2 linked regions of the Drosophila melanogaster genome follow. The protein of the gene in region 1 purifies or fractionates together with the protein of each later gene. This does not show direct contact. Each region holds a gene or a part of one and is shown in the gene's direction. Other genes may lie near its edges.

The links. Proteins that work in one complex are often made in the same cells at the same time.
Region 2: the proteins of CLIP-190 (region 1) and jar purify together in Drosophila melanogaster (affinity purification with western blotting; 3 studies listed by BioGRID, with this or other methods). This does not show direct contact.

What each region holds. Positions count from the first base shown.
Region 1 is NT_033779.5:17,382,008-17,388,763, forward strand, and holds the start of CLIP-190 (cytoplasmic linker protein 190), read left to right. Parts: upstream 1-3,007; 5' UTR 3,008-3,488; intron 3,489-3,553; 5' UTR 3,554-3,623; coding exon 3,624-3,888; intron 3,889-4,138; exon of another isoform or gene 4,139-4,322; coding exon of another isoform or gene 4,323-4,386; intron 4,387-6,756. Other genes in the region: Lrch (Leucine-rich-repeats and calponin homology domain protein), read right to left, coding at 1,463-1,775. UniProt on the Drosophila melanogaster protein: Together CLIP-190 and jar may coordinate the interaction between the actin and microtubule cytoskeleton. May link endocytic vesicles to microtubules. May play a role in formation of furrows during cellularization.
Region 2 is NT_033777.3:24,267,254-24,272,823, reverse strand, and holds the start of jar (jaguar), read left to right. Parts: upstream 1-1,590; 5' UTR 1,591-1,925; intron 1,926-5,570. UniProt on the Drosophila melanogaster protein: Myosin is a protein that binds to actin and has ATPase activity that is activated by actin. Together CLIP-190 and jar may coordinate the interaction between the actin and microtubule cytoskeleton.

The sequences.
Region 1 (6,756 bases):
GAAGTGCATTGTTCAATTCAGTTTCATTAATTAGTCAATTTATGTTTGCTTTATAAAAATGTAATTTTAATTGAATTAATGGTAGACAAACTGAGAATTTTGTTTATTTTTGTTGCTCTTCAATTCCGGTATTATCCATCATCCAAGGCACTGGCTAAGTGGAATTTTTATTGAATTCTTTCCCTATTCTTTTACCAAATTAGTTTTCAATTTATGACACAATTTATTTTTATCTCTCTTCCACGGCAATTAATCTTCGCAGTCCAAAAATAAAAAGTTTCCTTCTATTCCAGACATTTCCACCGAAAATACATCAAAATACAGTGCGTCCTCTGAAAGGTGACATTCCACGTTCATAATAAGTCTTAAAATTAATAATAACATCTCATAGTTGGAATTTACTTTGTGTAAGTAATTAAAAGAAATAAACTAAAATAATTTTGTAGTTTATAATCTGTCTCGTTTCAATGAACATAATCTTCGATCTGTGAAGTATTGTTAGATGGAAAATTGCCATATCTCGCTTTTTCAGCGATTAGAATGACAACTAACCTTATCTACGTATCCTTTCGCCTTTCAGAGCGTTTACTGTATGTGTATACAACAAACACAAGTGAAAATCGATGAGAGACATGTCCCGTTGTGAGAACATCTGTTCGAGGGTAGCAGCAGCTGTGAGAGGGGGCGGGGTCCTGCGAGAGGGCGGTGAATTTTCTGGGTGGGTATTTCCCATTTACTATTTCTCCGCTGGTGCATATTTTTTGGTCCTAACAAAAACGAAAGTTGGTTGAACTTCGACAAAATTTTCGTGCCGGCTGCGGCGAAAATAAAAATAAATAAGGATAACACGAATAGTGCAAAGTGGCGAAGAGCGAATAACGGCGGTAATTATTGTCCTTGAGCGCAGTCCGAAAAGGGAGAGAATGGGAGAGCCGCAGAGAGAAAGAGCAGCTGATGGGAGGACAGAAAAGGAGGAAAAGGATGAACCTCCGACGGCTGCTGCAAATTATTGATTTTCAAGCAACAAAAGGAAAATTCGCCACTGCAATGGAGATGGAAAAACTTCGTTAGCTCACCGGCAACAAACCTCCTTTGCTTAAATGCCGCACCCTAAAGGTATACACATACGCCAAACATTTTCGATAAGCAACTAATTTAATTGCTTTATCAGTACTTGTACATATGTAAACTCTACTTTTACTTTTTCTGACGTCAAAAGAAAACTTTATAACTAACAATTTTCTAATCAACTTTAATACCATTTAACTTTGTAATATAAAAATGTATGCTTTTTCCAATAAAATGTTATTAACTTCGTACATTAAGTATTATTAAGAACAGTTTAAACTTTACTTAGGAAGTAATGAAAACCCAATTTTTTCCGGAGCTACGAAACCGGCTTGAAGAACACCTTTTCTTTGTTCTCCCTTACGAATATACACTATACAATAGCGGTACGCACCTGCGATGACAGTGTCGGTAAGTGAGTACTTCGTTCCAGTCCTGGGAAAGTCCTTCAGCTTGCGATTGGTCAGGATCAGTTCGCCGCTGAAGTGCGCTTCTTCCAGGATTCTTTCCAGGGAGCGCGTCAGCTGGGAATGACTAAGCAGGGCAGACGAGGTGGAGGAGGAGGTGTTTCCAGCGTGGCCTATTCCAGATCCCGATCCTGTTCCAGATCCTGGAAGGGAAGCCGACCCGCTGCCGATGGCGCTGCCAGCGGCGCTGCCGACGCCGACTGCGACGCTATGTAGGCGTTGGTAAACCGTTGCTGCCATTTCCCGTGTAGGCGTGGCGACACTTCCACACACTTGCACACACACACGCACGCGCTAAACTATCACACCGATAAGGAAACGGAGTGAAGTGCCGAAAGAAACCGAAACTGGAAACTAAATTTGCTCTATTGAAACGCACGCATCTCGATTATTTTTCATTTAGTGTACGTCTTCTTGGCTCATTGATAAGATTTCTCGGAATTGGATTTTCCTTTTGCGGCTTCCTTCTTGCTTCCTCTTCTTTGCCTCCTCGCACACACGCGCACTCACACACGCACAAGCTCACGCAGCAGACGAGCGACAGTGCACAACGAAAATCGAAAAACAACTGAATCGGTTTATGGGATGCTACTTGGGCAGCGCTGGAAACGTTGCTGTTAGTTTAAAATCGGCGTGCCTTTGAGTACTATCGATAAAATACCACAGTGCGCCGATGATACACTGGCTCCATTTTTATCGCAATTCGAAATGTCAACAATCTTACATTTTATAATGTAATGTAATGTTTGTTTATTCAGAATGATCTACCGTTTAGCATTTGCCCCTTCAAATTTAGGGCATTATTAGATTACTGAGTCGTTATTACACCGAAACATTTCATATAACTACTTAAAGAAAAAATGAACAAATGACCAGGTAACCTGGTATTGGAACCCGGCAATAAACTGGTTGAATATTAAAAAACCATGTTAGACTAAATTATAAATTCGTTAATTTGTCAGTTGTGTGGGCTCAGATCACAAATCTGAATAAGCTCAGCGACGCTTCCATTATTGGTGACATAATTTCATATTTTACATATTTATATTCACGAATAAATATTCGCCAATTTCCTACAGGGTGTTTTTGTATGACCGCATTACTCTAAAAATACCTCGGGAAAATATAGCCGCAACTATCGATTGGCGCGCTGCACTGGAGCTGTGCTACCATCGCTAACTCAGTGCAACAACAAAATTCCAACGCAACGCCAACTAAGTGCAAAAAAAATCTAAAATTTGTGTAAAATTGTAAAATCCCAATCGCGTATATTTCTAAATCGTATTCGCACAGCACAGTATGTAAAGCACTCCAGTTTATTTAAGTACTGTGTGTGTGTGCGGTAAACACACACCAATAAGAGTGCGTTTTCGCGTCCCTTTTCCCACCCTCTTCTAATGGTTCCCTCTTCTATAACTGTGTCAAATCAGCAGCAACAATAAAATATAGAACAGAGCTACAGCGTGCGTGTGTGTGTGTGTGAAATGCACAAATTGATAAGCAATTTGATTCAATTTAATCTTGTTTAAGTCTGATGAATATCAGCGCAAGCAGCCCAACACAAAATTATAAATAAAAAGTTACGAATTTATATAAATAGAATACCCTTGAGTGATTTTGTTAGTCGCATAAAATTAATTCAATACATATTTGTGTTCCGCATTTTTTGAAAATATAACGAAGTTCTGGCCAACGAGAGCAACAACAAAAAGCGGTCTTGTTTGTTTTTCAAGCTCAACGAAAAAAAGAAGAAAAGAAATCTGCTCTCAGTCAGCTGTTTTAAAGCAGCCGCCTAAGTGCGAGTGAGATAGCTGCCTGCGCGCCAAAATAAAGCAACAACAAAAGTGGAACAGTGGTTCAAAACCTAGCTAAAAATAAAAAAAATCCATTTATTTTTGTAGCAAAAATATAAAATAAAAGCAAATTAAGCGAATTATACATATATTTGTTAAGGTAAGTGATCAGCATTCCATTTATTTTACCAAAAATTATTCTTTTGCACTTGTTTTTCCCCCAAGTTTTTTAAATCGTTTACTTTTAATACGCGTGTGTCCTAATAAGTGAAGATTATTAAGAATAAAGTAAAAAATGAGTGATGATACGAGCGCTTCGGGCGGGACAAGTGCCCCTTTTCCATCGCCAGTTACTGCGGACCCGGAACCAGGAGCCACTGCCTCCAAATTACCGGGTCCCATCAGATCCAATATTCCCACGCCCGCTACTTCTGGTACCGGAATCCCGCAGCCCAGCAAAATGAAGGCACCATCTAGTTTTGGATCGACGGGTTCTGTTTCCAAAATCGGAAGACCGTGCTGCAATCACACAACTCCCAAATCCGGTCCACCACCAAGAGGTAAGTCTAATCGCATTGTGCAACAACGCAAACCAGTTAGTATTATTGCTCAAAGCAAATATGTTACTAAGAGCAGTATTTTTGAAAGTAGTTAAAGGTCTTAATTATCCCCTGGGTTTAATTATCATCCATTTTACAAGCTAGAATTTAAAGCAAGATGAAATTAAAACACATCTGAACACCAATGGGAATTCAACCAGAGCCCCTTTGAAAATCTTGTCAGTGCATTGTCACATACATATTAACATCTTAACAAAGAACATTAATTTCACAATTCAAGAAAAGGGGTTTTTACCGATTTCCACTTTTATACGCGAGTTCTTCACTTATAAAACAGTTGGAAGAAGTCTGATAATTGAATTGCTCTCCGGAAAATATCGCAGTAAAATATGTTTCAATAGTATAGCCCACCACTATACTATCACCAAGTACTCATGAAGGTTAATATTAAAAAATGTACCCACATTCAAATGGGAAAACAGAAACCCAAAAAGAATGGTGAGTTTAAATAATGCACTTTTAAGTTTGACATTGTAAAGGGGTCATTTCATCAAGTTTACTTACTCTCTACCCTCAATACCCGAGATTTGACTACTTTTGTGTTTGCATCTTTGGCTCAAGCAAGTCAAGCATCCGCCTACATATATATATGTGCACCCACAAGATGTAGATTGCTGTATACTATAAGCGAATGCAATGATCTAATGGAAACGATGACAGACCCACTCACTTGCTAAATATATACATACATATACGCTGACCCCACCCCATTTGAGTGCACTTTTTGCACTACATTGAACTTGCAATTATTTCGGCGAGAACTCGCGTAGTTAGTGTAAATTCTTCTCTAAAGAGAAACCATTAATAATTCCCAGCGTCAACTGTTTCGTTTGGTAAACAAATGCTTCACTTCTTTCAATTATTTAATCGTTTTGAAACACCAACGCACAATTCAAAAATAAACAAAACAAATTGCCGCCCACTCTTAACTCTCGATCATAATTATAGAGCTGCCCCGAAAAGTGTTTTTGGTAAGGAGAATTATGGCCAATTAGGCAAGTGCTGCTACCATTTAATTGATCCGCCCAATGTGGCTCATTTCAGGCACGTAACCGCACCGCAGTCGTCAACATACGACGACCCACTGGCCCATATAGCAAACGATCTGCCAAACGATCCATGGATCGATTGACGGGTTTTCTATTTCGCCGGCACACACGTTCCATATCCGATTGACAGTCGCAATGCAACCGCAAAATCGTAGAAATTTATTCCCTGTAAATTTACCCAAAAACACAAAAATTTGTAATGTTTAGGGTTACAGAAAAAACTGAGTCACGAGGTGTATTTAATTTGCATCCATAGAAATAGTTTACACGGCGCTATGTGCACTGTGATCATTTAGATTATCACTTTGTATTAGATTGGTTTTGTAACTAGTTTGTTTGCCCATTTATACATTATTTTTAAAATCGTTTATTGGTCGTTTATTGCACATAATTATTAAACCTATTTCAGAAATTAAGCTGTTTGCTTGGCTCAATGAAAGTCCAGTTTGTTTTGATAGCTCCGAATTTTTTGCTTTAGTACATTTAAATTTCTACGCTGATTTGTTTCAAATACGCCAGTGTTGATCGCCATATCAAAGAGATTATTCCGCATTTTGCCAATTATTAACGAAAACGAAGTGATATACCGCATGTCCCAAATAGTTGAACTACTTTAGTCAATTAGTAGTTTATGCGACGCGCTGCTTAAAACCAAATCCGTTCCAAGCGCCTGAGCGCCTTGATCCGCTGCCCAGATCAGCTTTCTAAAATCTCTCCTAGCATTCTGGAACGGACTGTTTGACTATCTGCCAAGAGACCCGTCATTTGGCCCGCCATACTCAATGCCAAAAGTCTGCGAAAATCTACTCAGCTCAAATGCGACCGAGAAAACCTGGCGACCGGCCGGCAATCTATCTCTACGTCGTCGTTCCCTAATTGAATTTGTTCTGGCGATGACACAGAAAACGTACTCAAAACGTATCTTCTAGCTTGTTCGTGAGCTCAGATCTTTTGAGGTGTTTTTGCGCTGCGCATTTGATGCCGGGTTCCGTTCTCAGTCGATCTGATATGAAAATTGCGGTCGTGGTGCTCGTGGATGAGCTTATGTCACTTTTATTGGTTTCGATCGGAAACAAAAGTGAAGTGAGCCTCTCTCCCACCCATAAAAACGGAAAGCTCATTTGTCTTCGCATTAAGATTGAATCGAAAACGCGTTCGGGATTGACGTCCAATGGATGAGCATCGTCTGGCGGGGGATTACTCCATTCGATTCTAGATTGAGCCCAGTTCTGTTTACATCACCGACTCCGTGGGAGAGTCAATATTGATGTTATGATTAACCACTTTTTGTCTCACTTATTTGACTTCACATCATTAAGTCGTTGAAATCTTTATAATTGAAGACACGTGTTGCATATTTAAGCTGAAAACGTCTCGGGTTTCAGCCAACAGAAAACAGTATCTTCTCTTAAAAGGAATATATATACATATTCGATTTGATAAGTTATGTATTTGTTATAGTTTAGAAAATTTTATTAAATACGTGTTTCAATATTTCAATGCGCTTTTTTGTGCATTGTCTTAAAAGCTGATTCATAGATGAATCTAAAGATAATTGATTCTGATTAACTGGCATTTAGTCTCTGGAATTCATTGTTACAATCTCGTCAAGCAATTCTTAAATTGTTTTCCTACGTGTAAACTTTATATATAATTAGACACAACCCGGCGTTTAAAAACTTTATCGAATCTTTCAATAGCCACTTCAAACATCTTTAAAGAAAAAATAATAATTTTCCAAAACTTACATACTTTTTTA
Region 2 (5,570 bases), on another chromosome or scaffold:
GCGGGTCTCTAATACCAAGATAGCAATACCCAGATACAACCACTTCAGGCGGACGAGGAGAAGGTGGAGATATGACTAACATGGTACGGAGCCACCCCTAGTCGTTTTTGGTAGCAAATTACACCGATCCCCGGCCACTTACGGGGAAAGCCTCTACCAATTTCCATTTGCACAGCCGCTTGCAGCCAGGTAAGCCAGGTAAGTGGAAACTCGAATGCCTCATCCGATGGCAGTCGTTTGTCAATCAGGCGATCACGATCACTCAGACCTACGCGCTCTCTTTCACTTCCAATTGAGCTGCGCTGCGACAGACAGACAATTAAGCGGGTATTGCAAAAATACAAAGAAATGGTCGCAGTTGAGTCTAGCGACTAAGAGATACCCATTCTTGTTCGTTGAGATACCAGTTTTCATCAGCTAAAAGAACTTAGTTTCATTAGAAAATTATATCTTATAGTTAAGCAAGTACACCAAGTAACTTCAACTTTGAAATCTAGTATTACAAAGTTAGAAGGGTTCAACCATACTTACTTATAACTTATAACTTACTATAGTTAGTAAAACACAATATACCCCTGCGACAATTAATAAAGACGCTCCTGATTGAGCTCAATTAATAAGCGGGGCGCTGACCCATTATGAGAGCGAAAAATCAAAGACGGAAAATCGTACGATACAATGGCTCCTATTTCACACTCGTTTCTCGTTCATTCGCTAGTGTTATTTATCTAAATATTTGCAACAAAGGCTGGCGGAATATTTGATCCCCAGAATGCATCCAGGTGGTGGTGGTAGCTGGTAAAGTTAAGGACAGGAAAATAATTAGTCACCTCACTTTTTATTCATTAAACAACCCCTCTTGGAACTTTTACAAAGAGTACGGGCGGTATGTGGGAACCAATTGTCCTGCTCCACGTCACTAAACTTAAAATATATAGGGAACAAGAATATGAGAACGCACCGTTGTGCAGCCATCGAAATCTATATTTTGAAAAGTTGCCAAATCTTCTTGCTTTGCTGAAATAATTATAGTATAGTACTGAGAACTGAGTACAACACTATCCAACATTCTGACGGATAAACCACTGCGACTGTGGACCAGTCGTGATGCAGGTGTTGCAGAAGAGTGAACCACTCGATAACACCGCATTCTTAACCCATTCCATTCAAACTTGGCCATTTTCGTTTGCATCTTTCATAATTAAACTTAAAAACAGCACGATCAGCGGTGAATCTTTTTGAAGAGTATACTGTTTATATATACTGATATGCGGTGCATCTTAAATTACCATATTCCAAGCTTTAAGTTTAGAACTGGCTACACAAATAGGATAAGTAAAAACTACTGCATCTACGAAAATGAGTATCTTAAAAACCCATCTAACCATTATGGATTTGAAAAGTAACGCATATTTAAAATTAGCGCCAAAACTAATCTCTGGTCACACTGCAGGGCAGATTTTGCGCCCTAACTATCGGCAGCGGTGGTGGCACCTCTAGCGGTCAGCTGTTTTGCGCGTGCTTGTTGTTGTTTCGGTGCCGTTGCTTTTCGAAGTCGAAAATCCAAAAGTGGATTGTTGTGGATTTGATTTCAGTTCGACTCGACTCTCCAACGCGACGGTACGCGATTCGAGACGCTCGTGCTGGTCGCCTTCCGATCGCCGCTTGAATCTTAAATCTAAACTGTTAAAACCGAGGCAAACAAACACAACACCCAGCTGAAAATACTTCAAGTGTTACAAACTTTTGGAAATAGTGTATCGTGGCTATAAATTGCAAGTTCTAAATTCGAACCAAACAAAATCCACGCAGGAGATCGATTCCAAGTGGATTGCGCCTTCATCAATGTGTTCGTGTGCGTCCCCGGAAACATAATCCCCATTTGCCAGTAACTTACGCACGTACAGATTTCCAGCCGTCTTAAGGTAAGTGGCCAATATCTCTCTGGAGGAATAGGGGTAAGGGGATAACCGCCTGACAGCGAGTGGTGGTCACCTGTGAAGGCGGATTTGCTGCCTTTTGCTTTCTGTTGACTTGCGCTTTTCGCCTTTCCGCCTGACATTGGCACATTCTTGTCCACGAAAATTGGTTACCTATGTACAATATGCCAGTGTTGCAAACAAGAAATCGATTAGCAATCGCGGAAGTGACTGCACCCTACATATGAGTACTTTCAACTGGGAATCGTTTTTTGCACATAAACTAAACCAAAGTACAATTAATCATTACATTTTATTAATTTCTATACCAAGTAGTTACATAGAATTTAGCTCTTTTCTGGCTTTGGTAAACTTATTCTAACCATGACTCATATTTGTTTTGTTTGCCCTCCAATATTATTAGTTCTCTATAGAACAGGAGGTTCAAACAGAAAACGTGACCGTAAATCGAACAAAAGGAGTGCGCAGTCGCAACAGCAAATGTCACCACCATTCCTGCAATTCCCACAGCTGTCCTCCTACCACGCATCCTCATCCACATCCCGCACCCACAACCATGCACCCTATTCCATGTGTCCATATGTGTGTGTATGTACATAATTCTATTTATAGACAGGGGCCCATGTCAACGTCGTCAGTTCACAGTTGTTGTTGTTGTGTTTTTAAAGCAAACTCAAAGATAGTTTTGTGTCCCGACCATTTTAATTGAGTGCGGAAATGAGCAAACATTTCTTGGAGCCACACCCCCCTCCCTTCCCTGTCAACCAGGGACACAAGTGTCGTTCTCCCCGATCGACTGACTGGCCGTCTGATTTCCCATTCGAGGCACATTTCGTTTATTTATGTGGAAAATAGGGGCAGAGTAGGAGCTGGAGGAGCAGGGATGTGGACGCCGCTCCTGCGCATGCGTGTCCATGTTTGCAGACGTGCCCAACCTATTCTGAACACTTTAAAGCCAATTAAACGGGTTCGTCGATACCCTTTCATGTGGCCAGGGTATCTATATTTCTCTGGGGGGGTGAGGAATGTTGTCCTTGTTCACGGGAATCGGTGGCTAGAAACAAACAAGAATGTTTATATGGGTGCTAAAACTAACTTACCTATTTGCATTTCCCTTTAACCAAGACATTTTACTTTATAATAAATATTTGATGGATTTATTGAGGTATCACTGTATCATTTCACCTAATATTCGCACAAGGGTGTCGCGCATATAATTCCATATAATTCGAGATCCTTTGCGGTGCACTGGAGGAAGTCCTGTTGTTGTCCCTGTGCTGGCTGTCACTCAAGCCCCGTTCAACCCCCTTTCAAACCGACGTGACCTCCCCCTCGCCGGGTGGCAAGCAATTCCCAACACGCGCCACACAGCTGACAGGATCGCAGGATCACAATCCTGATCTCCATTGCCGTCCATTGTCAGCGCCGACAGCTGCCTATATGAATTATATGGAACCTTCGACGGGTTATACAGATATGTAGCCCAAAGTTTCTCGAATGGAGGCAAACCAATCTTTTTGGAGTGGCCAGCAGTTGGGCTCGAGATGCGTTAGACCAATTTGCATATAATACAAAAAGAGAAACACTGAAACGGCCGACGATTGTTCAAAGATTCGCAGTGAAAGTCAGCCAGAGTGTGTGGTTTAATTGCAGCTTTTGTTTTGATAGTCGATTAGCATAATTCCAGTTGTATTTTGCTTCTATCGTGGCATCGTTGATGGATTTTTTATGTACATGCCCCTCTTGTTTTATTCATGTACATTAGTTTTTTTTGGTTTGTCCAACGCAACACGTGCTTATAAAATATTGGATCAATATATGCAATGAAAGTTCCGTTTCAGTTTCCTGTTCAAAAATATATCAACGGTGATTCAAACTATATATTCGGAATACAGTTGTAAATATGATAAGATAGCACTCATTTTTAAACACTAAATAAATAAATTATTTCAAGCTTAAACTTCAACCACTTAACTAATGTGAATCATGTATGATGATAATGATACGACCATTTTTATAGTTACAGTAACATTTAAATTCATAATCCATAATCCCATAATCTGCAACTTTTTTGTCAAAAAATTTTACTTTCGTTTGATTAATGACTGTCAGTCTATTTATAACTTTTCAATCGTTAAACAATCATTTAAAACAAAGGGACTGAAAATAGATTTGCATAGCTATAGTTTTCGATGGGAAAGAGGCTCGACTTTCTGCAATTTGCTAGTTGTGTGGCCAATAAATTTGGTTATATTATTCTCATTACAACGAAACTGAATTATATTTACCTGCTATTTATTTTTCTGCCTAGCGTCAAACGGGTAATTGTGCTGGGGAACTGAGATAAGATTAAGTGTGAAACGATAACACATATTTGGGAACACCACACACAGGCCGCCCAAAAAAACAAAGGCTGGCTAACACAAAGCCCCCAATGTGACCCAAAATAAACGAAGTGATCCATGCTTTTTTCCCCCATGCTCACATATCCGCCAAGTGCAAAGTAACGACTTGCAGGTCCACACCATATGGAAAATCTGTGAACATGTGTCGTGGAAAATGAGTTATAGGGTCGTCACACAAATCCATCAACGTCTGTAAAATGACTTGGTTAATGGCAATGGCAATGGGAATGGAAATGGGATTCGGATCTGGGTCTGGGTCTGGATGTGGGATAGCCAGCGGTTAGCATTTGCATTTTAATTGCATCTCCGAATTGTAGGAAACGAGCAGCGTTAATTGCCGTTTGGCTCACAGGAAAAAAAAAAAACGCTTTTCAATTGTCGGTAGTTTTCCGGCTTTTTCGGATTTCTTTTGACTGGTCCGCATTAATTGGTTCCACTTGCTCGACGTTTAACTATCGACAGTCATTTCTTCGCCTTACATAATCCCCCTTCTCTACGCTTCATCTTTTTTTTTTAACAATTCCAAGTCGTTGAACCCGCACTGCAACTGAAAGCACTCGACTCGGCATTTGTGGGGCATATGAAAAACTTTAAACTAAACTAAAATACGAAAAAAAAAATTAAAAACAAAATCGGACAGGGATGGCAAAAATAACAGAGAAAGATTGAAAAACAAAACGCTACGAAAAACTTGTTTCGGTTGTGACTTTTGCGCATGCTCAGCGTTTTGCTTGCCAACGCTTTACGGTACAGTGAACTCTGGCCCCGTCACCGTTGCGTTTCCCGCTTTCGGTTAAGCGAAGCAAACTCTTGTTCCTGTGACGTTCGGGCCATAAATTTTACAGCTGCAACTTCTATTGTTGCAAGTGTAATTGCTTTTCGACCAATTTTCCCCCCACATTTTTTTTTTTTTGTTTTTTTTTGGGCTATTCGGATGGGCCAAGTTGGACCATTTAGCCCGAGTGACTCATCACTCTGAACCCATTTGGTAGTGGCTACTGGCAGCTGCAAAATCTGTGGCTAAAACAAGTTCAACTGGTTGCCCAGCGGATGGCTTCTAAATCCGTGCAGTCGCTACAGTTAGGGAAAGGCAGCTACTTAAATCGGGAATAATATGGAGTGTCTATCGAGATGATATTCAATTTCCATTATCATCTTCAGAATGTGGGTAATAATATATAGATACTTTTTATTATGTATATTCACATATGTCTGGGTCACCTTT